7 linked regions of the Kluyveromyces lactis genome follow. The protein of the gene in region 6 purifies or fractionates together with the protein of the main gene of each other region. This does not show direct contact. Links are inferred from orthologs where the notes say so. Each region holds a gene or a part of one and is shown on either strand. Other genes may lie near its edges.

Region 1 (4,123 bases), on a different chromosome or scaffold from region 6:
AAAAACGACTATTCCACCAATCCATTAAAACAAGATATGGCAGTTCTTACATGGGTATCAGCATCTGGCCGGCAAAACGGCGAAATTGATTATCATTTAGCCACTGATATCCTGACTCATAAAATGATCCAGTCCATTGAAAATATCTACGCTATGAATCAGAGACAAAAGTTGGAATTAGATGATTTTGAAAGAATGGAATCTATTCAAAATCATCATTTCAACAAGGTCAATAAGGATTATAATGATATTAAGGAAAAGCTTGAAGAATCCGAAAAGAAGCTAAAAGATGATGACGTTAAGGTAAAAGATTTCCTTGAGGAATCAGAAAAGAAGCACAAACAGATTGAATTCATAGATTCAGAAATTAATGATTTAATGACAAAATTAGGGTCTAAAAGCGAACCACATAAGGTTTTGAAGGGTTTACTAGAAGAAATTTCAAACTTGCAAGATGCCCGCGAGAGAGAAAAACGAAATTCGGAGTCTAAATCTTCTGAGAGAACATACATGCAAAAGGAGATAGAAAGAGCCGCTCAATCTGTTGATGAAAGCAACAAAGAACAAGATAAATTAAGAGAAGAAATCAAGCTCTTGAAAACGAAAATAGAGGACAGTGTAGCCGAAAATAAAAAGAAGGTTGCCAGTGCTGAACAGAGAATAGATCTCTTGAAATCACAACTACAACAGGAAGGGCAAAATCTTGGAGGGCTTCATTCTAAACTTGGATATATAACTGATAGACTATCGAAAATTCAACCCAGCAGAGGAAGACAGGCGACTAATGGCCGATCGAAGAAATGATACGTAATTTTAACATCCATAATGATTAACGTTTTTACAAATTTGCGTAGAATTAATTAGACTCCCCATTTGTTAACTGAGCGGTCCCAACCCGCGCTATATATATCAGGACCTACAATATCAATTGACATAACCTTATCAAGATGCCCTTCAAGGCTTCGTTCCTTTATCCAGTTCCCATCATTGAAGATATTTACTTTCTTGTCATATCCACTCGACACTAAATATCCTCCGTTTTGCTTATTGAATTTGACTTGTGAAACAATGCTATTGTGAGCTAAGATCGTTTCCACATTTCCCTTTTTCCTAATATCCCAAACCTTTATAGTCCCGTCACCACTACCAGACGCAAGCTGATATCCATTTTGGGACCAGTCAACGGAATAAATAGGTTTTGAGTGTCCCTGTAATGACATGATATTTTTACCGGACCGTATGTCCCATATTAATGCAATTGCATCCAAACCAGCTGTACTCACCAATGAGCCATCATTGTGAAAAGATAGTGAGAAAACCTCCGCAGAATGACCTTCCTGAATCAAAATAGGGGCTTGTTTCACAGTATCTATCAGGATCCATGTTTTGTCAAAAGACGTACTTCCAATAAAACTATTACATGGATGGCATCGTACTTGGGCAAACCTGGCATCATTTTTATACAAGATCTTAACTGTGGTTTCATCACCACTATCATATATTACAATGCGTCCATCATGGGTACAGACAAAAATGTTTTTAGAGTCCACGCTCCAATCCAATCCACTAATCTTTGTGCCAGATAAAGATCTATTGCAGTAGATTTTGGACAACGAATTATCGACCAGAGACAAATTTCCGGACCAACTGCCACAAGCCATCAGGTCTCCACCAGGAGAAGTATTAATTTCAGAAATAGGTTTCTCATCTATCACCTGCATTCCCTTCAAAGAGAACTGTTTCAATTTACTTTCCAGGTCCCTTCGCTTACTTATGACGTTTTTCACATTTTGGCTGACAAGTCTTCGTCTCTCCTCCTCAAGCCTCAGCTTAGAGCGTTGCATAGAGTATATTATAAGAAACTTCCTCATTTCTATCAACTGCTGTGATGCTGGAGTGTAGAACTCCTCGTCTTCATCATCTACTTTACTTCTTTCAGTATCGATTTTCGTCTGGTCTTTGGAAGTTGACTCTACTAACCTTGTAACTCGTTCTCTGGCTTTTGGATCGCTAAGAATAAGATCAGAAAGTCGATCTCTGCGAGAATAATTATCTTCGCCAGCGATATCAACGGGCTCTCCCACTAGCTCTAGTGCTCGTCTAACGTCTGTATCTAGAGTAGGCACAATTTTGAGCCTTTCTTGCCTTTGGAATTCCAATCTTTTCAGAGCATCTCCGACTGATTGCCCATCCTGGTTTTTGTAGTCAACATCTACCTGCAAATCATCTAATTCTACCATTAGAAGTTACTGCAGATAGTCCAAAGGTGAGTTGTTACCGGTGCCACTTTTTTGATTTCATCTCTTTATCATCTCACTTCTTTAAAAGCATATTCATAAAATGAACTTTATCGTTATTCCTGAATATGAATAGTTCAAAAGTTGGAAAACAAGTGAGGTACTCCATCGAGTAAAAAGGGTCTGAAGCTAGGCGTCGATCGAACGATCATGAGTGAACAGCAGTTGTTAAGAGATAAACACATTGATTATATTGCGTCTTTAGATACTAAGAAAGATGATCTAGAGTACTGGCTCTCAGAACATCTAAGGTTGAATGGGGTATACTGGGGATTGACAGCCCTCTATCTCCTTGATTCTATCGAAACATTCAATAAGGAGGATGTAATACAGTTTGTCCTAAGCTGTTGGGATCATAAAACTGGTGGGTTTGCTGCGTTTCCAAGACATGATGGTCATCTATTAACGACTCTTTCAGGGCTTCAGATTTTGGCTACTTACAACGCTTTAGAGCGCTTGGGTTCAGAGAAGCAAGAACAATTGGAAAAATTTATCCTATCCAATCAAAAAGCAGACGGCTCATTCCAAGGTGATAGTTTTGGTGAAGTCGACACACGTTTCGTATATACTGCATTGAGCTGTTTGTCCATTTTACACAAATTGACGAAAGAAGTTGTAGAACCAGCAGTTTCGTATATCCTTAGATGTTACAATTTCGATGGCGGATTTGGCTTAAATCCTGAAGCAGAATCTCATGCTGCTCAGGCATTTACTTGCATTGCTGCTTTAGCAATCGTCGGAAAATTAGACTCTTTAACTCCAGCTCAGCAGGAGAATATTGCTGTTTGGCTCTCAGAAAGACAAGTTCCAGAGGGGGGCTTAAATGGTAGGCCAAGCAAACTGCCCGATGTATGCTATAGCTGGTGGGTATTATCAACACTTTCAATACTCCAAAAAGCTGATTGGATTGATTTTCCCAAGCTAACGGAGTTCATTTTGCATTGTCAGGATCCCAAAAATGGAGGGATTAGTGACAGACCAGACAACGAAGTCGACGTATTTCACACGGTTTTTGGTCTAGGAGGATTAAGTATAATGAAGTATCCAGGATTAAGAGATATTGATCCAGTATACTGTATGCCATATACGGTGACGAAATATTTCCAACGCAAGTACTCAGATTAGTGTCTTAGAAACTTAAATAAATTATGAATGCTAACGACCGCAAAAAGTAGGTCCACAAGTAGTTTAATATTGATAAATTAAAATGGTAGCTCTTCCTCTACTAGAACCTTAGAAGCAGGGAAGAATTCTATATATTTGGCAGCTCTTTTGTGAATAAATCTACCGGGGTTGATCGTTTTGCATCCGTTGTACGTTACATCGAAAGCTGGTGCGCTAGTGTCACACAGCATGATACTCGATGGAAGCGGTGATAGCTGCAATGTGAAATCAAGATCCCAAACAGTTGGTCGAATTCTTGATGAAAACGGAGATAGATGTTGTTGATCGAGCAATGTTTTCACCAATTTCCTCGATTCTAAAACACTTACAGGCAAATTATTCTTGAATGCGATTAACTGGCCTACTGAAACATCCGGGTTTCTTGAATATTGCTCTTGAAGTTCTGCATTTTCCAGATATTTCTCCTCTTCCACAGTAGGGAAAACAATATTGTATCTTTTAAATCTATTTGCTAAATCATCGCGTGTCAGAACAATCTCTTGTGATAGATATGCAATTCTTAATGGGTTAGAGCCCCAATGCACTTTTCTACAAATTCTACTCATTTTTTGAGTAAATGATGATGGAATTATTTTTTGGGGCCACATAGTAGTAGTACCTAGTCCAACCATTGATGTCCACGGATCATTTGGACCTGGAAT
Region 2 (4,967 bases), on a different chromosome or scaffold from region 6:
CTTCCCTGGTAAAAATGACGTGGACCTCGGCGGGTATTTAAGACTCTCAACAGCTGCTATCGATGTTTTTCACTTCACCTCCGATCCCTGTCGACTACCAATACTCTTCGCAATTTCGAAGTTCCATTTTGGTTGTTCGTTTTCAAATTTTCAAATTCCACTGGAAAAAGTTCTCTTTGATAGATATAAGAGCTGACTCTTTCATAGCAGAGAATCAGATCACAACGGAAAAATACACAGAACTGCCGCATATACTGGGTTAGTTACGATTGAGGAACGGAACTTCTGACAATGCGGAAAGTCAATTTACAGTCGCATCAGTGTTGTCCCAATTTTTATTATTACAATCTTACAATCTTACATTCTATCTAATTATTGGTGTAAATTGTTGATAATGCTGTGCAAAATATCAATCGGAGAGTTTGATATGTGTAGGTATGAGTTTACTGCGGGCTCCCATAGTATACCGTACCTGGGTTCATTTTCTTTCAATTTCTTTAACGTTTTTTCTTCATTTATTTGCAAATCAACTGGATTCATGCACGACTCGCAGATGTAGAGCCATACCCATGGGTCCCCAAATTGAAGATTATTTTCCGAGGCTCTTATGAACCATTTATATGCCTTCGCGTATTGGTGTTCCTTTTGGAACACTTTTCCGATCTCAGTTATCACCATTGGATGCTCTTTTGTAGCTTCGAGAGCATCTTGGAATGTGGTTTTACGTAGTGATTTTTTAGGAAGGGTTCTGATGTTTAGACACCAGAGCCTCCAGCTGTGTGGACACGCTTTGAGACCCTGAGCGATGAGGTACGTTACTTGTTTGTTATCTTTCACTTGCAGTTCCAATGTAATGAGAGCCTCGTAGAGTGTATCGGATTTTGGATTCTTTAGTAGAGAAACGCTGAGTATTGAACGCGCTTTGCCCCAATCTTGTGTTTCCATTACCAGTCTGGAGAACTCCAAGCACACTTCTGGATCATGATTAGAAATATCCGTAGCCCTCTGTAGCACACGCTTCGCTGATGAAAGGTCCCTTTGTTGCCTGTATAGCTGTGCTTTCAAGATTAGTAAATGTTTGTCGTTTGGTTCACGTGCCAAAGCTATATCAACAGTAGAATGAGCTATTTCCAAACTGCCTTTAGATTGCAAACACTTAACGTAAAAAGGAACTAATTTATCAATGCATTCTACCAAGTGTGATTCGGCTTCTTCAAAGGAATTTATAATCTCATCCAATTTGCCATCTCTGTTCAAAATTTTGAGTTTAGCCAACCAAAACTCAGGATACGCCGAATTTGTCACCAGAGCTTTATCTAAAATCGACAACGCTTCAGTGGAACCAGAACCCCAATCCCAAACGTCTTTCGCATACATTAAAACCAAGACAGGGTATTTCTTTACCGCTTGAGAATCTGTAAAGAGGATCTTCCTGAATGTTTCGTGTAGCTCTAATTTCCGCGAAAAGTCTTCGGCGAAATTGGTGAACTCCTTCCAAATAGAGTACTTTGTTGGATATTTGATTAGGAAGGAGGAAAACAAGGTACACTGAAGTGTGGTGTCGTTTACCAACAGCTTCGAGAGACTTTGGAAATTTGAGGATGCGTCTTCAAATAAGTTATTGATGGTAGCTGTGATGATTGCTTTCGCTGTTAATGGATACAATCCTTCTGTTGATATAGCGACTGCATTTTCGAACCACTCAGTAATAGTTGGATTAACTTCCAGTTCATGAAGATCCTTTATTGCGCTAGAAATGATATTTACCAACGTATCGAGATTTGCGGTCGTTCTTTTTTCTTCGAGTTGACATTTGAGAAGCCAGTATGTGATGTCTTTTTTAATATGTTCTTCAGCAGATTTCAAGGTGTCCACTGCAGATTCGACTGATTGTAACCTTATCAACTTCAACCATAACTGCGAATCCTTCGGCACTAATTCAACTGCTTTCTTCAAAATTTTCAGCTTTTCAAGAGTGGAAGTTTCAAGATTTACCGCCACTTCCCATAATATAGAGCTTAGTGGTAGTTTAATTAGAGCCTTTCGAGTGACTTTAATTTTATCAGTATTGTGTTGTTCGAGGGCGATTGCCTTCAACCACAACTGCTCACTAAACTCGTTGAGCCTTAAGGCAACTGTAACCAACCTCTTGCAATATTCTTTATCGGATGCGTTCATGCGTATCGATTCTAACCAGATAGCTTCACTTTTAGGGCACAGTTTACAACCTTCCGCTAGCAAACTTTTGGCTCGATTGAACTGATTGGCTCTTTCTTCGATTCTTGCTGAAGAAATCCAGTTTTCTGGATTTCTTGGATGGGATTTACGATACGCGGCTAATAGGGATCTGTTTTTCCTAATGTCTTCCAAATCCGTAGATGAAATAGTGTTGTCATCTTGGTTCATTCTATTCAAGTATTCAGCATCATCCGTAAGTTGACTTTTGCTGTAATCAAAACTCTTATCTATCTGGACAGCAAGTAACTTTTCCCTCTCTTCAGTTAACTTGGATAAGTTGACATTAACCTGGAACAAAGTGTCAGGAGCAGCGAATGTTTTCCTTTCAAGTTGTTCCTCTATTCGATTCCTTTTGTTTCGTCTGGTCATATCAGATGCGTCAGGGATATCCAGCCAGTCTTGCTCAGAAAGAGTTGCTAAATTACGCTTCAAATCTACAAATTTAGAAGATAGCTTGTCTGGTTCATCATCTGGCTTCGTCTTTAGGCTTGTTTCATTGTCGATAATTTTTTTATTCTTAAGTCGCTGTTCGATCTTTTCGTACACTCTCATCTCTTGTTCGTCTTCATCTTTAACCTGTTTCTCCGATGATTCATTCGAAACTGCTGATCTGTATCTATTTGGATTCTTTGTTACAGAAGTATCTGGTGCATCTCGCCCATATCTATTCAATCTAGCAGGAACTCTTTTATCATCTTTACTTCCTCTGGTGGAAAAGCCAACCGCTCCACGACCTATACCAGCGATGTAACCAGGTGGTGGAGATTGTTTTAGGAAACTGGGAGTCTCCATGCCTATCACCGTGATAGTTGTTTACTCAGATGATTTACTAGTGAATAGTTTACTGTATGAGATGTCCTTTCGATACAAATTTTAAAGGTTTTGTTTTTAAAGATATTCTACAGATTCTTAAAACAATAGAGAATAAGCGTTGATAGAAATAAATATCGATTCTGCTTAGAAAGAATTAAATATGCAGGCTAATATATGAGGAAATTTGCAGAATCTATAATACCGAATATGTTCTATATTTGTAGCAGATAAACTATTATCTAGCTAGTGCACAAACAATTAATTAATGAAAGTTCCTAAAAGGCGCTGAGGCCATGAGAAAGAAAATATCAATCTGATGATTATGATAATTGGTAATCTCCACCGTAACGTGGTGCGTTCAAGATGATACCGTTCAAGATACCTGCAATGAGACCAGCCATTGGAAGAGTTAAGAACCAACCACTGTAACAGAAAGCGACCATTCTCCAGTTAACGGATTTCAAATCCCTGTTACAAAGACCAACGGCCACAATACCACCGACAGCAACTTGAGTAGTAGAAACAGGAATACTTAATTGTGTTGCCATAACAGTGGTAACAGCAGCACCAAGTTCAACGGAGAACCCTCTGGATGGAGATTGCAAAATCATCTTGTTACCCAAGTTCTTGATGATTCTGTAACCGTATGTCCAACAACCGAGGACCAATGCAGCGGCACAGTATGCTAAAACCCATGTGTGAACGTCAGACTTAGATTCCACAGTGTTTTTCTGCCAGATGTCATACACGGCAGCTAGTGGTGCAGTGGCGTTGGCAACATCATTGGCACCGTGAGCAAAAGACATAGTGGCGGCGGTAATAGCTTGCAAGATAGAATAGATGAATTCGATTCTGTTGTCATAGAAGGCAGATCTCTTGTACATGTCCTTGAAATCTGTTGACAAAGCACCTGTATCGTAGACCTGAGAATGAATAACATCTTGAGTCCAACCGTGAGAAGCAATCAACCAAAGTAATAGAGGCCACTTCTTTGGTCCTTGTTTTAGCAATGACCACCATAGCTGTTTGGTAGTTGGTTTTTCTTCTTGCAAAGTTTCTGTTTGCACCAATTTGATACTTTGGTTGACAGATTCCTTGTCGTTAATTTCAATATGTCCCTCTACAGTATCTCTTCCATCGGCGGTGTGGGAAGTTTCAATTTGGGTTTCATCATCTCCGGCAGTTTCATCTTCGAATCTTCTACCTTCGTAGTAATCAATGGTTAAAGATTGTCCAGCAGGTAGAGGTGGAATGTCGTCAGTGGACTTGAAGTAGAAAGTTGGGCCTCTGTAAATATCATACCATTTTAGGGTCCAGTCTCTGTGCAAGATTCTTCTTCTGTAGTATGGGTACAAGAAGATGAAGTAAACAGCACAAGCGACTAGACCAGTAAGAACAATAGCCAATGCGGTAGTTGTGCCAGACAATTTATCCAACTTCAAGTTTGGAGAACCCTTCCAAACGATCAACATAGTCAACACCGAGAAGGTAGCGAACACCAAAAATCCGACGAGTAGTAAAGCGTTCTTAATAGCTTTTTCAATTGGCTTAACATCCAAGACCAGGAACTTGGAGATCAAGAAAATAATAGTGACCAAGCAACCGGCTAAGATTGGAGCAATAAACCAAGAAGCAATAATTTGAGAAACACCACCCCAACCCCATTGGACACCCTTGGCACCACCGGCAGCAATACCGGCACCGATGGTACCACCAACGATAGAATGAGTCGATGACACTGGCATACCAATAGATGTCGCAATTGAAAGCCAAGTGGCAGAACCGACAAGAGCACATGCCATAGTTAACATTAACACAGCTGGATCATCTTCGAAAGGTGAAGCAGAAATAATATTGTTCTTGATGGTACCAGAGACTCTAGCACCCGCTAAGACAGCCCCCAAAAATTCACATAA
Region 3 (4,212 bases), on a different chromosome or scaffold from region 6:
GGAAAGTTGTATACCATATGACTTTAGATGGTACCAGGAAAGTGTTTAATATGCATCTCGAAAATGATCCATTCAAATAAGTGGGTAGAATTCCTTCCGGGAAGTTTAGAACTGTATTCTTCAATTTTGATGAAGATACCTGTGGTGCATGCAAATAGTTAGCAAACGTTACAAACGCGAGACATAGCGATGCGCTTAGAAGGAACTGCAATTCCGTTAAACCAACAGGATGTGGAAATCGGGATAAAATGGCTTTTGACAGGTTTGATGAAACAGAAGAAGTCATATACCATATAAGGCATAAAATAGATATGTGAACATTCACTTCCGGTAAATACTCTTGTACATCCTTGGGAAATAGATTGACAAATTGCTCTTTCCACGTCTGATTTTGCAGTCTTCTGACCTCATTGAACGAAGTTGAATGTTTATGAGACCTGTAATTTTCCTGGAACGGTATTTGTACCTGGTTGACAAAGTTAACATCTGAAAATGTTTTATTGATCGAAGGACGGCGCTTCGAAGTGACGCTCTTGGAAGTTACAATCATTTTTCGCTTATTTTATTCACACCTTCTTAAAATCAATAAAGCGAGTGGAACGAAGTTGAATGAGAATAATTTAGCAAACGATAGAATAGATCGAAAAGAACTGTTACTTTATGGAGCGAGCAGCGATTTTAGAGCCGACTGTCACTATGTAAGAAGTATCTCTTTCTATTACAAGTCGCCAAAAATTGATGCCATGTTATTATATTATATATTTCCAGTCTTTTTTCTTTCTTTCTGACCGATGTGATGTTTTTGCTTGCTGACGTTGTTAACGTTTTTTGGCAGTCACGTGGAAAGCCAAGCACAAAGGGTTCTCTGCAGAATGGTGCTAGCTCGTGATTGCTGTGGGCAGAGCAAGACAATTTTCTAGGAAGCGTCAATTCAAAATGCCATAGGTTTTAACTCTAATTACTTTGAATAAGTGTGATATGTAAGGTTCTATAGTCCCAAGTATGAGTCTCTTTCCAATTGTTTCTTTCTGTCCGCCATTTTCTTCCGTTGTCTTTCCAAAGTCTTCTTACTGGATTTTGTCCCATGCCATGCTTGAGAAAGTTGTTTATAGGCCTCTTTAGTTTTCAACTCATTACCCTCGGAATCCTGATATGCGAGTTCGACCGTTGGGTTGTAGTCTCTTAGTTTTTCCTCTTGTATACGTTGAATTTTCAATGCCATTTCTTCCGCTTGCGCAGCTTTAATCTTACGCAATTCGTCCTCAGAAAAGTTTACATCATTGGAGTCCAACTTTTCGTCAACAGTCTTAAGGGAATTCACAATGCCGTTTAAGATCTCAAACTCTTTCCTGACATCCGTTCCGTGTTTTTTACTGTCGCTTCCCATATTGGGGCGATCGTCTTGCTTAATTATATTTCGTTCCTTCAAGAAGTTCAACATTCCTGCCACACCTCCTGAGAAATCAGGTTGCGTGATATCGTTATCGGTGACTAATGTTGCTGGAATAGTTCCCGTTTTATCTTTTTGCACTGGTTTCAAATCGATTTTTATGGGCAAATCATCATTAACAGGTTCTCTGTCAAGAACGTTCGCCTTCAAAGAATCCAAAAATTCATCGGTTTCATCCAGAAGAATTCCTTTATCACTATTGTTCAACATATGAATTCCTTTGCTTCTTTGCTGTCCTTCGAGTTTTTCCAACTCCAATGAATTCTTTATCCCTGTTATTTCCTCATTACTGCGTTTCTGTTTGACTTTGACAACTGCCTGAATTGGCCGGTCTGAGAAATCCTCATCATCTTCCAAAAGATCAACTTTCACCATTCTCGCTGTGTCTATTCTTCTCGGTTTCTGGTTTTGATTTGATTTCTTCTTTCGCCTTTTAATCTTGACTGGTGCGTAATCTTGATATGGTTGCTCATCATCTGAGTCACTTTCAATTTTGACCCTCTTAGGGAGAGACTGGTGAACAGGTAATGGTTTATCATTTACTAAGGAGTCGTGTAATGGTATGTCAGATCTTGAGTTTGTATCATTAGCCTCATCGCTGTAATCAAAGATGGAGATTTTGTTTAGTTTTCTATCTTTATTCAATTGCCGTAGCTTAAGATTTTTGGCATCCTGTTTATCATGAACTAGCTTCTCATTCTCTAATATGTTTTCGTCATCAATATTCTCTTCGTCGTTTGTCACTGAAGTTTCTTTCAATGTAAAAATGACTGCTTTCTGTTCAGCAATAGATTTCAGTTCATCTGATACTGGGATATGGTGATGCGTAATGTCATCATGTACAGTAGCATTTTCAGCAGAAGATTCTTTGTGAGTGATAGGTTTCCCAATTTTGGAAAGCCAGTCATCAATAGATTCTTTATCAGTAGTCGCTCTTTGGTCCACTGCTTCCTTTGATTCATATATTCTTTGTTTTAGTTGACCAATCTTTTTATCACGATCTTGAGCGCTTCCATTTATTTTTCCAGAAGCACAATCCTTTTCGGAGGGACGTGAACTTAGCTGACTAGATCTTCGTACTTTCCTATTTGTATCAGATGCACCTTCTTTTGATTCTGTTGACGTCTCAGTGGGCCTAGGTATAGTCTTCAAACCTAAACTTGCCCTAATTCGATTTGTTTCTTCCAAAGATATAGAAGTAATCTTACCCATGGCTTTGAAGTAACTGTATGCCTCGTAGAATTCGTATTGTGGTCGAATATCCTTATTATCAAATCCTGTTGCTTTCTTTCTGCCTCATCTCATCGCCAACTTGTCCGAATTTAAGAATTGTATATTTCAACATTTTCATCAGTGAATATTTTGATGTAACTATCAAAGCCATTGACGATGACAATGAGAAGAAGAGTACAGCGTATGACAATAATTCAATTATTATATTTTGTTTGAATTTGATACAGACTAATTTACAGAGGTACACACATAGTATGTTCGTATGTAATGGAACAGATTTATACGAGGTTATTAGAGATTTAATGCAAAAGAGTGGGGTTTTAATGTGAATACTATATCTATTTCTTTTCCTTCTTAGATTTCTTATCCTTTTTTTCTTTCTTTTCCTTCTTTTCCTTCTTTTCCTTCTTGTCTTTCTTCTCCTTCTTAGACTTCTTAGATTCCTTAGACTCTTCATCATCGTCTCTCTTTCTCTTCTTATCCTTCTTATCCTTCTTAGATTTCTTTTCTTCCTTGGTTTCTTCCTCGTCCTCGGATTCATCATCAGAGTCAGCAGGAGCAGCAGCTGAAGACACGGTGTCAGCATCTGCGTTGTATGCTCTAGCCTCTGTGATTTCAGTCTTCTTGTGCTCACGGACGACCTTTGGTGTGGTTCTCAAGTCTCTGCCTTCTAATTGGGACAATCTTGATTCTACCTTAGCTCTGGATTCCAAACCGATGTCACCAGAATCGTCTCTATCTTCAGCCAAAGCATCGTAACGCAAAGAAACGGCAGCCTTAGCAGCCAAAACTCTGGCAATCTTACCCTTGTTCTTACCAGATGCTTGGCCAACCAAGGAAGCGTGGTACAATAGACCATATTTAGGAGTGTCATGCTTAGTTTTCAATGCTCTGAAAAGAGCCTTTTCAGCACCCAAGATTTGGATGGTGGAAGCTGGAGACTTGGCCAAAGAGATTAAAGAACCAGAGTGTGCGATCAATCTAGCACCAACCAATTCACCAACTAATTGAGTCAAATTTGGAGCAATAGCCTTCATTCTTGAAGACAAATAGTTAGAAAGTTGTTCTCTGTAGGCAGCAAATTCAACAATTTGTTCGGCTAAACACTTGATATTAATCAAATCAACTGGGGTAATTTCAGTACCCATGGAGACTTCGGCAGCGGTCTTGACTCTCTCTTCAATTTCTTCAGGCAAAATTTCAGACATGTCAGTTTCAGCAGCATTAACTCTAATACCCATGGTCAAGATTATTCTGGCGTAAGCAACAGAATCAGTAACAATCTTGGCCAATTCTGGGAAATGCCAACCGTACCATTCCTTACATCTCATAGCGTAAGTGTTTAATTCTTTATCTAGATCGTCTAGCAAAGCAATAGCTTGGATGATCATAACATCAACTTTATCAGCAGAGAACTTCAATTTGTGACGACCGATGGAGTGAGCCAAACCCAATGACATCTTGGAAAGATCTTGATCGTTCAAACCTGGCAAAAGTTCTGGCAAGTACTCCTTGACTGCACGGTAAAT
Region 4 (4,037 bases), on a different chromosome or scaffold from region 6:
ATTGGAGAACGAGTGCCCTCGAGTAATTTTAAGGGTAACGCATCGTACCTTTTCTACCAACTGCTAATTCTATTCTTTCAAGTAGGGCTATTCCTCGTAACTGTACTATCCATCTCACCATTCAAAGATCACGAAGTCGCGGACGAAACCTATACACAGAAAGCCCAGAGTGATCTGAGTGACGGATATAATGGTAACGTCTTGATACTCGAAGTGGATCCAAAAGCCATGATCGAAAATCTTATAACCAAAGCACGGCCAATGGCGCAGGATCAGGAGACGTTTGAACCGACAAATGTAGATGCGATGGTGTAACACAGTTGAATCTAAAAACAAATGTACATTAAACTAGTTTAGATGTAGTGGCTTCTTTATATATGAATATATATAAGTGCCTAATCTGTTCACTGAGTGGCTTAATGCGTATGATACAGGGAATGAAAGAAATGGAATTATGATGCACGGTTTGTCTGTGTATGGAAGGGAGTGGATGATATTAAATAGAGAACATGCGAATTGGCTTCTTATTGTGAGATTGGACAGTTCTTCAAGTATTCCGCCTTGTTCTTCAAGATCCTGACCGATTTGAAGAAGATTTCTTCCGGTGTCATAGCACCAGAACTCTCCACGTTAAAGATGAAGTGGTCTCTCACCCTACCCAACTTAACCTTCCCCTGGAACTCATCGTGTCTCAACACCTCTCTGGACACGGTATCCTTCCTTGGATCCTTGATATAAGCTTCACCCTTCTCGTTGACATCTGCGACACCTTTAGGGAAACATTTCACAAATTTCTTGGCATCATCACCGGTGATAGGCTGTGTGATCTGGATGTGTGGTAATAGTCTATAACTAGCTGTCGACACCGGAGAGAACTTGGCATGGTCTGCACCGATACCTAGAATACAATGTGCCCTTAACGAAATCTCTTGACCTGGTCTCAACTTGGCCAACAAGATATCTGGATCCGCTGCCACCACGGGACACTTGGCAAATTGTTCCACCTGTTTCCCCTGAGGCTCAAACTTAAGGTCCCTAGCATAGATATGCGCGTTTCTATAAAGAACCTTGGGGTCTTCACAATCCTTTGGAGCATCTGGGTTCCTGGTACATTTCACGTTCAACGACATCACTATCGTATTTTCATCTGTAAACCTTTCAGATTCGGGCAATGACGTGTCCACCCAACTCAACATATCTGGATCCACCTTCAATGGCACTAACCCGATTCTATGCGCCAACACTTCGTCCTGTAGCACAGACGTATTGTTAAAAAAGTAGACGTATTCTGGAGCGACAGATGGTACTTCTGAGATCATAATACGACGGAAAGCGTTAGCAATCGATGTGTCGACATGAACCAAATCGAAATTCACTTCACGCTCATCCAAACTCTCGATTTGTACGTCAAAAGTTTCCTTGAACTTCTCCAAGTCCCATGAATTGTCTTGATCCGAACTAAATCCAGGGAAATCTGTTGAACTTGTGTTCGTCACACGGTTATATTCAACACCAACGATATTGGACATCCTTTTTCAATTGTATTGCTACGTTTATGCTACCTCTTGAGCTCTCAAACGACCTCAGAAAAGCCCTATGACACTGGTCAAGGTCCGTCTCATCGGTGTAGATACCTCATCTCAAGCTCATCTCATCGCTTTAAAGAACTGAAAAATTTTTGGAAAAGAAAAGATCACATCGTATAGAGTGATTATATATGATTAAAGATTGGTAGAAATGCGATGAGATAGCTACTCGAGAGCAGGTACTAGTCGATTACTGCTCTTTTGACCATCCTCAGTTAGTTCAGTATGTGGTATTTTACAGTTGGATTGTAACTGGATAACCATATTCCCCTGTCTTACTCTTTCACAAGGTGATAATGGACCTTTTAGATGACGAAGATTATGGAAGTGTCAGCGATGAGGAAAGCTTGGATGATGGGTTAAGTGGTGTAACCAGTGGTATAACCAGTGGTATAGCCACAGAATCGGATATTTTACCCTCTCCTAGTGTTAGCAACCTAATATCTGACTTTCACGCGCAATTCTGGCACCAAGGCGCGGATTTAGATGACCTCATCCAACTTGCCAAGCACGAAACTATAATACGAGATGCAACAAACCATACGACAGAGCCTTACAATGTCATAAAACTGGGCCAATTGATGCCTTTATTCGATACAGAGCTTTCCATGGTGTTTCAATGCATTGTAGATACCTACAAGGCCAAGTTCCCTGGGTTGGAAACTATTGTCCCTGAAAGGAAACAATACGTCGACGTGGTCAAGATGCTGCAACAGGATATTCCCAACGTGCAATTAGACCAAGTGCTATCGAAGGAGGAAACCCTTGTGGTATCTATGTCTCTAAAGACAGATTTCAAAGAGGGTGCTCGAATTGATAAGGATCTCCTCTCCAAGGCCATCCATTGGTTCGATATTCTGTACAACTTACGGGACAACGTCTCACACTATGTTGAGACAAGAATACAAATGGTAGCTCCAAACTTATGTGCTTTATTGGGACCTGATACTGCAGCTAAACTGGTAACACATTGTGGTAGTGTTAAAGAACTAAGTGTGGTTCCCAGTTGTAATTTGGCATCCATTGGCCAGGACAAAACGTTGCATGGCAAATCGTTAGATATCTCTGGGGTACGACAAAAGGGATATCTATTCTATACAGACGTGGTACAAACACAGCCTCCTGAGTTCCAGAAACAGGCGCTTAGAATGGTCTCTGCCAAGGTTGCTCTTGCTGCGAGAGCGGATTGCACCATGGGGAATCAAGTCATTAACCCAGATGGGAATTCAGATGGGAACTCAGATGCCTCGAAGCTGGGCTTGAAATGGAGGCATGAAATCGTTGAAAAACTCAAGAAGATAATAGATCCGCCGAATATCAGTAACATCAAGCCGTTGCCGATCCCAGAAGACGCTCCAAAGAAGAAAAGAGCTGGTAGAAGGTTCCGTAAGTACAAAGAACAGTTCAAGATGTCGCATCTAAGGCAAATGCAAAACAGAATGGAGTTCGGTAAAGAGGAACAGACCACCATGGACCCATACGGAGAAGAAATAGGGTTCGGGATGGCCGATTCAAAGAACGTTTCCGCATTGTCCTCTTTCAATAAGACCAAAATGCGTAAATCTATGCGTTTAAGATTAGATCAAGAGACTAAAAACACGCACAGTTTCCTACAGGATGAGAGGTCCGAAAAGCTCAAACGTAGTGCAGAGCACCCACAAGCTACGGACCCCGCCACCAGCAAACAACCACGGTTGTGAGACACCATAGTTCTGCCGTGTACCTTTTATACCCTGTATATGTCTATTCATAGATCTGTAATTACGATTCCTATTATGGCAAAACCAAAACACAAAAAGATGATCCAATGTTCGAATTGAAAACTTTAAACAAAGAACACAACTTAACCATTGAACTTTAGGGTCTCTTATTCGATCAGATCTGCCGATAATTCATTGTGTCAAGTCAGAAGTAACGTGTCTGACCTGAAGCACTAACGGTTTTATTTACATACTTCAATCACACAGTTTAAAATAAGAAATGTTTACAAGAGATGCGAATGGTCGTCACAAGGAGGTCGACGCATTGGTCGACGATATGGTCAATTTCAGTTTTGATACGGATGCTAAAGTTATGCTAGATCCCCCAAGCACTCCAACGAGAATACGTGGTTCTCCGTCTCCTACTAGATCGATAGTAAAAAACCCTGAAAACTCGCTCATGGATATCGACGATGATACTCAGGGAGATTTGACGGCAGACATTACCAAGTCGCCAAAGAAACTACCCAAAGATTTCTATAAGAAGTCCTCAAAGACTAAATCCAAGAGATTGGTTTCCGTGTGTCAGATGTATTTCTTGGATTATTATTGTGATATGTTCGACTATGTGATTAGCAGAAGAGAACGTACCAGACAAGTGATCAACTATTTGGAAGAGCAAAGAAGGTCGAACCTGATGGGTACTGAGCAAATTACCAACGAATGGCAGGGTTATCTGACGAAAGAGACG
Region 5 (3,987 bases), on a different chromosome or scaffold from region 6:
GGGGAAAGACCGCATGCATGTGATTTCCCGGGATGTTCAAAACGCTTTAGTAGAAGCGATGAACTAACAAGACATAGAAGGATACATGACAGTGATAAACCAAAGGGGAAAAGAGGAAGGAAAAAGAAGAGTGAGACGATAGCTCGTGAAAAGGAATTAGAATTGCAGCGGCAAAAACAACGAAACGCAAACGACTCTGCGGCTGTTGATTCTGCTGGTGGAACGAGCGCTAATGTCATAGAACCAAACCACAAACTTCTGAAATCCACTAATTCGATTAAACAAGATGGTTCAACATTTACTGAACCTCTGAAATCGTTGAGGTCGAAGCCAATGTTTGATCTCGGTAGCGATGAATCGGATGAATGCGGTATATATAGTGTCCCACCTATTAGATCTCAGAATAATAGTGGTAACATAGACCTTCTGCTGAATGCTGCAAAATTTGAGTCTGACAAAGCCTCATCCTCTTTCAAATTTATTGATAAACTACCGTTGACTTCATCTTCATCCTCTCCGTCACTTTCGTTTACATCTCATTCAATCAACAACAGCAGTAGCGGACTATTGTTACCAAGACCAGCTTCACGTGCTAAGCTTTCTGCTTTATCATCATTACAAAGAATGACACCCTTGTCTCAAAATTCAGAGTCATATAATCATTCGCAACAGAATCTAGTACATCTTCACCATCCCGCACCCAACCGACCATTGACCGAGTTTGTTGATAACGAGTATATAAGTAACGGTCTGCCTAGAACCAGATCGTGGACAAATCTGTCGGAACAGCAATCACCATCGGGCTTCAGCTCCTCTGCACTTAACTCCAGATTCTCGTCATCCAATAGTCTCAACCAACTGATAGATCAACATTCAAGAAATTCAAGTACTGTAAGCATATCTACTCTACTGAAGCAAGAAACCGTAATCTCACAAGATGAGGATATGAGTACAGAAGATGCATATGGCCGGCCACTTAAGAAATCAAAAGCCATAATGCCCATCATGAGACCTAGTTCTACAATGCCACCAAGTTCCGGCTCAGCTACAGAAGGAGAATTTTATGATGAACTTCATTCAAGGCTTAGATCGATGGATCAACTGCCGGTAAGGAACAGTAAGGACGAAAAAGATTACTATTTCCAAAGTCATTTTTCAAGTTTACTGTGCACTCCAACGCACAGTCCTCCACCGGAAGGATTGTTACCCAGTTTGAATCAGAATAAGCCAGTGCAGTTGCCATCACTTCGAAGCTTAGACCTTTTACCACCAAAATAATGACTACTAATGAAAATGGACAGAAATGTAAGCGCACCGTCTCTTCATCGATCAATGTATTATATTAACTCAAGATATAAAACTTTCACGCATAATGAATATAGAATTTTACTAGCTCTTGTCCATCAATTATATATCATTTCATCTTAGCATTCTATTGACAATAACCATCCAAAATAGACTTTGTAAAGTTTTCAGAGAACCTGAAGCTTGCGATCACCGAAGATATTCTGTGTTCAGGATACTGGTTGTCATGCTCGTCTGAGGAAAAACATCTTTCCATGAAGATATCACGTGATATGTTTGATATTCAAAGTTTTTAAAGGCTTTAAACTGCAATAGTATCAATCAATTTAAAGGTTGCGTGATAGGAGCTGATGCAACCTTAGTAGCAGGTCGAACCAGTTGATTTTATGAACTGACCTAATCGCACGTGGTACACTTATGAATGCAGAAAACAATAAGAGACGCCCAGAAGACGAAAATGTCTCTGTAGAGGAGGCTGCTACCTTGAAAAAAGTTAAGAATTTACATACGCATAACCGCGAATATACCACTGTTTTAGTTAAGAACTTGCCTCCAAATTATAATCATCATAAGGTTAGAAGATATTTCAAAACTTGTGGTTCGATATTACAAATAGATGTTACAGATTCAACAGATGGGGATTCAAAATTGGCAAGGATTGAATTTAGTTCCTATGATCAAGCCCTAACAGCAGTGAGCAGGACTTTGAAAAAGATTGGCTTCCATCAGATAACTGTCGAACAGCTAACAGATTCTACGATTTGGGTCACCAATTTTCCACCTGGGTATGATGCCAGCAAGCTTCGAAATTTACTATCGCAGTACATTGATTCACCAATTTTGAGTATTAGATTGCCGTCCTTAGCGTTCAATTCAAGAAGAAGATTTGCATATGTTGATTTAGTTTCTCCAGAAGTGGCAAAGAAAGCTACAAATAGGCTCAATGGGATAGAGATCAACAATTATAAATTAGTAGCGAAAATATCGAATGTCAACGAACGAACTGAAAGGACTGACAATGCCATATCGGATGGTAGAGAGATAATAGTTAAGAACCTTCCAGATGATATTACCATCGATGATTTGATAAAGATGTTCAATGAGTTTGGTGATACAGAAAAAGCTAGAATAGTAACTGGTGATGAAACAAACCCTGGACGACATTCCAGATATGCGTTCATAACATTCAAAAACAAAGCGAGTGCAGATAATGCTTTGTCATTAAATGGAGCGGTAATGAACGGTAAGCCATTACACGTTTCAAAAGTTATGAGAAAGGCTTATCTAGAAAGACAAGAGGTGAAGCGTCTGCTTGCTTCCAGAAAAGAAAACCCAAAAGTTGTCGGAATATACCCATTGTCTGATCAGATTACCCCAGATCAAATTCTTGCTTTCATTACGGAGAAAGCTCAAATTAGACCTCCGGATATTACGAAGGTTTTGCTGGTCTCTGATCATGAAGGTGCTTTAATAATAGCGGACAAAGAAGCAATTACCGCAAAAGTTTCACTTGCAATCAATGGATACAAGTTCAAGAACCGAATTTTGAAATGTGTTTCTGCTCATGAACTTTCCCTTCATTATCCCAATGAACACAAAACAACCTTGAATCAACCAAAGCACGCTGTTGTAAAGGAAATTAAATCACAGCAAGCGTCACAAAATGACAAAAAGTTGAGCAATGATGACTTCAGAAAATTATTTCTATCTAAATAATATTAATACTATATAAACCTACCTGTTTATAAATCTGACATCAAGGATGATTGAAGTTCTGAGATTTGCTTGGTGATAGAATGTAGAAGCTGATTTCTATAGACCTCATCTTCCATCATCTTTTGTTTGTCTGGGGTTGTCGCGATGATCCGAGAATTCATATACTTTGGGTGAGTTAACAAATGTTTCAATACATTTGCCAAATCGTTTCTCTCAGAGCTAGTGTCTAAACCAGGGAACAACTCTATTATCTCTTCTTCGTCAATGACCTTCAATTTGGAACCATTAACAGACAAATAACGCTGATATTCAAGTTTATCTAGCATTTTCTGCAAAAGAATTATCTGGGAAGTCTCCTGGATATATGCTTGAGTTATGGACAGTGAGTCAGACGACCAGCCCCCCACAGCAAGATCTATTTGTTTGGAGAAATATGAAACAAATAGACACACTTCCGAAAGTATTCCAGATCCGAATTTACTTAATAGTTGAAGAATAATCGATATGATGCCATTGGACCATATGTTATGCAATCTTGGTGATAATTCTGGGCGAGCCCCAGATTGTTGAATTGACACCGAAATCGGACTTTCCAAGAACACAGAGAAGAGCCCGTTATCTATAATCTTTTGTGCAACTTCTTCAATTGTGACAAGCTCAGAAATGAATGACAGGGTTAGCTCCGCGAATAAGGGTTCATCATGAGATCTGAAAAGATATGAACTGTAGTAAAGATTCAAAAGTGATTTTAAGGTTCCAAATTCATTTAGCGAGGATGCCAATACAGCGTTAAAGGATGTCGAAGGGTTCAGTTCTTTGATTTTTGTGAAAAGGGATAGTAATAGTAACAAATCTTGAATTTTGTCGGCAAGATTTGGCACAATAACTTTTTTACCTTTGTTGGAGGCTATTGTGAATGAGAATAATATAGAAGACAAGATCAAATTAACACCTTTTGAAAAAGCT
Region 6 (3,002 bases):
AGTCATCTTGGTATCATTAAGGCTCTAGAGGAGCAAGGAATTCCAATTGATATAATCGGAGGAACGTCAATTGGTTCGTTCGTTGGAGGTTTATATGCCATGGACTACGATCTTGTTCCTATATATGGCCGAGTCAAGAAGTTCGCTGGTAGAGTTGGTTCACTATGGAGAATGCTAAGTGATTTGACTTGGCCAGTTACATCATACACTACAGGACATGAGTTTAATCGTGGTATATGGAAATCTTTTAGAGACTACAGGATTGAAGATTTTTGGATTTCATATTACTGTAACTCGACGAATATTACAGAGTCAGTTCAAGAGATTCACTCATCAGGTTTTGCATGGCGTTATATTAGAGCTTCTATGTCACTTGCGGGCCTTCTTCCTCCAATTGTGGATAACGGTAATATGTTACTAGATGGAGGTTATGTCGACAACTTACCAGTGACCGAAATGACACAGAGAGGTTGTAAAATTGTGTTTGCAGTAGACGTTGGATCAGTCGATGATAGGACTCCAATGTCATACGGAGACTCTTTGAACGGATTTTGGATTGTTTTAAATAGATGGAATCCATTTTCGAAACACCCCAACATTCCTAATATGGCGGAAATACAAATGAGATTAGGATATGTTGCTTCTGTCAATGCCTTAGAAAGGGCTAAAAGTACACCAGGTGTGGTGTACATCAGGCCTCCTATTGAGAACTATGCGACTTTGGATTTTGGTAAGTTTGAAGAAATATACCAAGTAGGCTACGCGTACGGTCATGACTTTTTACAACATCTGCAAGAGAAAAACGAATTACCGCCAATTGCGGGTACCACAACTTCTGCTTATGCCGACAAAGAAAACATGTTACAAAGACGGAACAGTATATAAAACGAATTAACAGGAAACGCTACCCACATTTGTCGATGGTGGACATGCAGGACATAAAATCAAAGCCATGGCAATTAACGTTATAGTTTCTAAGTAACTGTAAACCGAAAGTTAAAAAAAAATTGAATAAACTAAATATATACTATACAAATGTTAGCGATGGATGTATATTGGGGGCAAAATGAGGATAGCTCACATCGCACTCAATCAATAATGAGGACATGAAGTTATTTCTTCGAATTTCCCTTATTAAATGTTGAAAGAAGAAGAAGGATACTGGACAATCATTCATCTTCTGGTGTTGTTACAAGGGCCACAAGACCACCTCTAACGAAAATCATTTCCGAAAACCTTTCGGTCGTTTTCAAATCTCCTTCTACTAGTTCATAAATGGTTTCCTTTGAATCTGAAAGAACAATATTACAATGTGAGTCGAAAGCCTGAAGAGTACCCACTAATTCACGAGCATCACGTAATTTCACATATACTCGCTCGTCTAAATTCAATTTTAATAGATCCAGAGGCGTATCAGACATCTTTGCGGCGTAAAGTGTGTATGTCTTCTATATTTATGATGCAGTCGTATTCTTACAATAACCAATAATGCAATTGATAGAGGGTACAGCAGTTAGGTTGAATGGTTTCCTTTGTCAGTTTATCAAATGGAGTACCAGGTATAGTAGAGTAGTCGATATACAATCCAAGGCTTAGTTCCATTCACACTCCAGAGCATCCTCCATAACATACTTAATCACCAAATTATTGTTAACGTACTAATTGATAAAAAGTGTTGAAGTTTTGAATTTCGATGTCAATGGAAAGCTCTGAATTATAGAATAATCAGTTAAACCAGGGAAGGTACACGTTTCCAACCATCTTTGAATGATACTGTACCTGTTGAAAGATGGCCAGGATATGCGATGCTAGTTTATCATCTTATTGCACTATGCTTCACTAAGAGAGTCAATAGTCAACCTGATATTCACGTGACTATCACATGACAAAGGCCGGGCAACCTAATGACGGACCCCGAATCAACTCTGTTCGATCAAAAAATTTTTATAACATTTAAGCAGAGGAAAGCTGAATAGGAATTAAAACATGGATGAATCAGCTAGCTGTCGTGATATTGAAGTGTTCTACCTCGATTGAGTAGCTGCAGGACGTGTTTATTATAGCAGGGATATTATATTTTCAAAATGTTCCCAGCAAGAAGGGGATTGCATACTACTTCTAGAGCATGTGCCAGGACGAGATTCACCAAACCTAAACCCAAACCAGCCAAGAGAGAGAACGTTAGACTACCTACCCAGAGGACCCATCACGATAATGATTTAAAGATTACAGCTCCTATTCCACCGGCTGCTGCCAATTTGACATGTCCAGATGATCATCCTTTATGGCAATTTTTCTCCGAGAAGAAGTTTTTAAGAACGCCCGAGGAATTGGATACGCTTTCGAGACCTTGGACCATCCCAGAGTTGAGAAGAAAATCGTTCACTGACCTACATTCTTTGTGGTACACATGTTTGAAAGAACGTAACGTATTAGCACGTGAAAACCATTTGGTGCAGTTCAACTTTGAAGCACAAACCGAAGCATACCAAGATATCTCCGAAAAGATCAGAACGACAATGTGGAGAATAAGACACGTCCTTAGCGAACGAGACTGGGCATTCAAGATAGCGAATGAGAAATTTGCTGTTGAAAAACAAGTATTTATCGAATCATTCGAAAAAGACTTTTTAGAAGCTCCTGCTAACGAAGATGAAGAGATTTTCGAATCATTGCAACGTTTTCAATATGCCATATACGGTATCTCTGAGTACATCGATGAGAACAAAGTGGACAGAACATTTGTGGATGGATTGAAAGCGGTTGCAACATTGAAGTTAAAGAAATTTGCACTAAGAAACGAGGACATCAAGAACTTTTTAGAAGAATCTAACAATACAATTGTGGATGCAGGTGAATCCTTCCTTCTGTATACATCAGAAAACACAGAATCTGCCATCGCAGAAGCATGTCAAGCGGTAAGGGAGTTGAGAGAAAATGGCTCCTCTGTGTCTAGATACGATGAATTGGAAACTGTTCAAGAATATGTTAATAAATTAGCT
Region 7 (3,775 bases), on a different chromosome or scaffold from region 6:
TCCGGCAACATAAGGCCCTATGAATTGTGACTTCAACATGCTGTGAACCACCATTGTTTAAGCTCTATATATTGTTTTGACAACTCCAAAGCGGCGCCCACTACCAGCTAGTCATTTAGCCCGCATCATTGCCATGTTCAGTAGTTTGTAGTTTACTGTCCACATGGAATTTTCTAGCATCACCGAAAACGGGAACCTTTCTGACATGAAAGTTGAAATTTATAAAAGGCTATAAAGCTTACACACTTTACAAAATGAAGGATTCGACATTTTTTCAACAATAGAGTGCCAAGATTATATCAAAGTCAGCGTTTGTACAAGATCCTTGATCCTCCTCGATTGATATTCTTCCCCTAAGAAGTAATCACTATAATAATAGGTCAAAATGTCCACTCTATTGAAGTCTGCTAAATCTATTGTTCCATTGTTGGACCGTGTTCTGGTGCAAAGAATCAAGGCCGAAGCCAAGACTGCTTCTGGTTTATACTTGCCAGAAAAGAACGTTGAGAAATTAAACCAAGCTACTGTGTTGGCTGCTGGTCCAGGTTTCACCGATTCCAACGGTAACAAGATTACACCATCTGTCCAACCAGGTGACCAAGTTTTGATCCCACAATTCGGTGGATCCACAATCAAGTTGGGCAAGGATGATGAAGTCGTTTTATTCAGAGACTCTGAAATCTTGGCCAAGGTCGTCGAATAAAGGTCTCGAACGTTACACCAGAATTAAATTTAAAGAACGATGTTATGAGCCAGTATCTTTCTCTGTTATTGATGATTGAATTTTGAGAGACGAAGGGAGATATTATTTATATAAATATGACTTTTTTTTGATGTTGGTAGTGATAAAACTCAATAATGTTGACCATTGTGCGTCACTTGGACTGCCTACTCACCCCATGTAAATAAATGTTCTAAGTAGGTCGTTGGATTTACTCCGGTTTTATTTTTTTTAACATACACTATTACTTTTATTCCAAAATTTTGATGATTTCGAACTTGGATTTCATTTTCAGTACGTAATTGTTTGTTAAAACTTACCTAATGGTACAAAAGTCAATGCATCGTGCTGCTCTAAGATATTATTTAACTGGTTTTTATCTTTACAATCGAGCATGAACCAGCCCTTGAATCTACAATCACCAATTAATCCTTGCCAAACCTTTGTAATTTTACCGTCGCAAGGTACTGTCTCTTCGGTATCTCTATCTTTGTATGGTTCCGACCAATTGATTCGCTTTGTCACCAACTTATCGAAAAAGCGGATAGATTTTTCATCTCCAAAAGCTACAATTATACCTTTGCCATTTTGAATGTGTAGACAGCATCCTTTCAACTTCAATTGCTTACCGTTGGTTTTGATTTTGTATCTGATACTAGGATTCTGTATTTCGTCAAACATGTAAACAACACACGTGTATTCTAGAGGACTATCATTGCTGTGTGCTTGTAACTGGGATTCCTTCCTTCGTTTCAGGCTTTCTTGATGCCTTATTTCATTTTCTTCGAAATGTTTCCTTTTCCTCTCTGCCACTTGTCTCCGTACGATGGATTCCCATTGAGTTGGATCCGCAATATTGGCATCATTCTCATACACATTCATCATATTCGATAATTTAACCTTGGGCTCTGGTTTTGGTTCTATACCAAGCTTGATTTTCTCCTCCTTCTCCTGTCGTACCAACTTCCTCGTATTCCTTCTGGCCTTTTTCCGTTCGTTTTTCGTTAAGAAAATCTCTGCCACTGGAACAGCTGCCCTAGGCCTTTCAATCGGTACCGGATGTTGAATATACCTAATACTTGGGAATTTATCTTGTGCACCTTCCTCTTCCTCTTCCTCTTCATCATCACTTTCATCGTCCGAATTCAATGTGGAATAATCCAAACTATATTTCTCATGGATGCTACCATCTTTGATATATGGAACATCCCACCATTCCACATCAGGAACGTCCGATAAATCGGTAAAATAAACTTCTTCATGCTTATCAGGTAGTTCCCCTATTTCTATTTTCCGTTCGATTTCCTGCTGTTTCTCCAGTTCAGCTTCCCATCGTATTCTTTCTTCTTCAGACTTTTCACGGTTCTCTTGTCTTAATTTTGCAGCATGCTGGACAACCTCTCCCGGTTCATACCAATGAGACGATACTCTTGCCTTTGGCTCAAAACCATGAGCCTGTACGTCTTGCAAGTATGGGTTTCCACAACGTCTACCTTGAAATCTCAATAAATTGACATTCTCAACACTCAATGCAGAATGCAATTTCCGATTTAACCCTCTATTAGTATTATTATCATTGCCCATTATATGATGATATGATTTTTGTACAAAGGGCCGATTATTCCAGACAATCCGTAGTTACTATTACACATCACCATTTGTCTTTTGTCCATCTCTTCTCTAGCATCGCAATGAACTCTCTCTCATATAGAATCTGAATCACATCTTCACTCTGTAACGCCTATGATGAAATTCACCATGCCCGGGTAATATATCCGAAATTGCACCAACCCCTGATTGTGCGTAGTGTATGGGTGGAAGCCAAAACAGCACAATTTTTCTGTTTTATGGGATGAAAAGAATTACATAAGCGGCCCCTAATTCTCGTTGTTTTTGTGTTCCTCGTGAGTTTCTCAACTCTTTGCTGAAAGGGACAAAGTTCAGTTCCCAGAGAAGGACTTAGGCGGGGAAATCCAGCCCAGGAGAAAGGAAAGCAGAAAAGCTGATGTGATTTTTAACAAGTAGTGTTGCTTTGGAGCTGGAAAAAGTCAGCATAGTAACGTGCGCATCATACACTCTGATTTGCAATGATGGTGCCTCGGAGGGGTGGGTGTCATATGTGGGGCGTGATATCTTACCGTTGGGTATAAATAGTAAGAGAATAAACTCTGGCTTAAATTATTGTTATAAAAGGCTAGCTTGAATATATAGTTAAGGATACCGATCTTAATTCATCTCGTACTTTCCAACCGAAACAAGACTAAAAAGTGAAAAAACATACATAGCTAAGGATAGACTTAACATAGAAATATGGCACATTCTTCTGGTATTCGTAGACCAATTCAGATTCAAGAGTTCGTGATTGCTATTAGAGAATCGTCTGAGCATGAATTACAAGAGATCAGAAAAGAGATCAATAATGCAGTGAAGCATTTACAAAGATCTAACAGAAGGTTAGAAGCGTACGTTGCCAAGCTTAAGGGTGAAGAGGTATTGAACAGACAAGAATTGGACGCGGAAGGGAATTTTTCCGATGATGATATTGATGAGAAGGATTTGCAAGTATTCCAAGACTCATTAGCGGAAAATGGAAAAGTATTGGATAATTATAACGAAAGGCTACAAGCTTTGGACCTAGAAGAACAGCACAGGGCTAGCACTGTATCTTCCGGTGACATCCAATCGGCGTCCACAAAATTAAAAAGATCTTTGCAATCTCAAGGCCGGAGAACCGTTGGCGTGGATTCAGATAATACTGCTGATGCCACTGGTTCCAATAGCATTAACTTATGAACCCATTCCAAACAAAATATATATAATGTACTCATATATTGAAGTATAGTAAAAAAAAAATGAATGAAAGCAAAAATGCATGTTTAAAAGTGTGGGCTGGTATGACCTCGGAAAACTGTATACTTTCAGAGATGAATAAACGCACCCGTTCTGGTTTCTTTCTCTTAGTTTCGGGCTGGTAATCTGCTGGGAAAAACCCTGGAATGAATCTGCTACAGACCATTCTTAACATTTAGCTTTTTCTGTTTCCAGCAGGCTGGG

What was found.
Region 1: the proteins of LSM3 (region 6) and PRP4 purify together in Saccharomyces cerevisiae (affinity purification with mass spectrometry, with the first as the bait; 4 studies listed by BioGRID). This does not show direct contact. The link is inferred for Kluyveromyces lactis from reciprocal best matches to the Saccharomyces cerevisiae genes LSM3 and PRP4.
Region 2: the proteins of LSM3 (region 6) and PRP6 purify together in Saccharomyces cerevisiae (affinity purification with mass spectrometry, with the first as the bait; 3 studies listed by BioGRID). This does not show direct contact. The link is inferred for Kluyveromyces lactis from reciprocal best matches to the Saccharomyces cerevisiae genes LSM3 and PRP6.
Region 3: the proteins of LSM3 (region 6) and SNU66 purify together in Saccharomyces cerevisiae (affinity purification with mass spectrometry; 3 studies listed by BioGRID). This does not show direct contact. The link is inferred for Kluyveromyces lactis from reciprocal best matches to the Saccharomyces cerevisiae genes LSM3 and SNU66.
Region 4: the proteins of LSM3 (region 6) and PRP31 purify together in Saccharomyces cerevisiae (affinity purification with mass spectrometry, with the first as the bait; 3 studies listed by BioGRID). This does not show direct contact. The link is inferred for Kluyveromyces lactis from reciprocal best matches to the Saccharomyces cerevisiae genes LSM3 and PRP31.
Region 5: the proteins of LSM3 (region 6) and PRP24 purify together in Saccharomyces cerevisiae (affinity purification with mass spectrometry; 6 studies listed by BioGRID, with this or other methods). This does not show direct contact. The link is inferred for Kluyveromyces lactis from reciprocal best matches to the Saccharomyces cerevisiae genes LSM3 and PRP24.
Region 7: the proteins of LSM3 (region 6) and PRP3 purify together in Saccharomyces cerevisiae (affinity purification with mass spectrometry, with the first as the bait; 4 studies listed by BioGRID). This does not show direct contact. The link is inferred for Kluyveromyces lactis from reciprocal best matches to the Saccharomyces cerevisiae genes LSM3 and PRP3.

What each region holds. Positions count from the first base shown.
Region 1 is NC_006041.1:426,395-430,517, reverse strand, and holds PRP4 (U4/U6-U5 snRNP complex subunit PRP4), read right to left. Parts: upstream 2,241-4,123; coding exon 861-2,240; downstream 1-860. Other genes in the region: HDA3 (Hda3p), read left to right, coding at 1-804; Rab geranylgeranyltransferase BET2, read left to right, coding at 2,448-3,422; DPB2 (DNA polymerase epsilon noncatalytic subunit), read right to left, coding at 3,500-4,123. UniProt on the Saccharomyces cerevisiae protein: Involved in RNA splicing. Is required for the association of U4/U6 snRNP with U5 snRNP in an early step of spliceosome assembly.
Region 2 is NC_006042.1:395,674-400,640, reverse strand, and holds PRP6 (U4/U6-U5 snRNP complex subunit PRP6), read right to left. Parts: upstream 3,031-4,967; coding exon 373-3,030; downstream 1-372. Other genes in the region: PHO89 (Pho89p), read right to left, coding at 3,372-4,967. UniProt on the Saccharomyces cerevisiae protein: Participates in pre-mRNA splicing. Part of the U4/U5/U6 tri-snRNP complex, one of the building blocks of the spliceosome.
Region 3 is NC_006042.1:798,602-802,813, forward strand, and holds SNU66 (U4/U6-U5 snRNP complex subunit SNU66), read right to left. Parts: upstream 2,663-4,212; coding exon 989-2,662; downstream 1-988. Other genes in the region: SLY41 (Sly41p), read right to left, coding at 1-550; RNA-processing protein NOP58, read right to left, coding at 3,022-4,212. UniProt on the Saccharomyces cerevisiae protein: Component of the U4/U6.U5 tri-snRNP particle, one of the building blocks of the spliceosome. Required for pre-mRNA splicing.
Region 4 is NC_006040.1:1,252,499-1,256,535, forward strand, and holds PRP31 (U4/U6-U5 snRNP complex subunit PRP31), read left to right. Parts: upstream 1-1,882; coding exon 1,883-3,286; downstream 3,287-4,037. Other genes in the region: GLD1 (Gld1p), read left to right, coding at 1-26; DNA-directed RNA polymerase core subunit RPC40, read right to left, coding at 525-1,529; KLLA0_D14905g (serine/threonine-protein kinase), read left to right, coding at 3,567-4,037. UniProt on the Saccharomyces cerevisiae protein: Promotes the association of the U4/U6.U5 tri-snRNP particle with pre-spliceosomes to form the mature spliceosomal complex.
Region 5 is NC_006041.1:966,952-970,938, forward strand, and holds PRP24 (U6 snRNP complex subunit PRP24), read left to right. Parts: upstream 1-1,722; coding exon 1,723-3,021; downstream 3,022-3,987. Other genes in the region: transcription factor MIG1, read left to right, coding at 1-1,278; NUP188 (Nup188p), read right to left, coding at 3,048-3,987. UniProt on the Saccharomyces cerevisiae protein: Functions as a recycling factor of the spliceosome, a machinery that forms on each precursor-messenger RNA (pre-mRNA) and catalyzes the removal of introns.
Region 6 is NC_006038.1:468,348-471,349, reverse strand, and holds LSM3 (U4/U6-U5 snRNP complex subunit LSM3), read right to left. Parts: upstream 1,422-3,002; coding exon 1,170-1,421; downstream 1-1,169. Other genes in the region: NTE1 (lysophospholipase), read left to right, coding at 1-885; MRPL4 (mitochondrial 54S ribosomal protein uL29m), read left to right, coding at 2,085-3,002. UniProt on the Saccharomyces cerevisiae protein: Component of LSm protein complexes, which are involved in RNA processing and may function in a chaperone-like manner. Component of the cytoplasmic LSM1-LSM7 complex which is involved in mRNA degradation by activating the decapping step.
Region 7 is NC_006041.1:826,774-830,548, reverse strand, and holds PRP3 (U4/U6-U5 snRNP complex subunit PRP3), read right to left. Parts: upstream 2,306-3,775; coding exon 1,031-2,305; downstream 1-1,030. Other genes in the region: HSP10 (Hsp10p), read left to right, coding at 386-703; TMA17 (Tma17p), read left to right, coding at 3,032-3,514.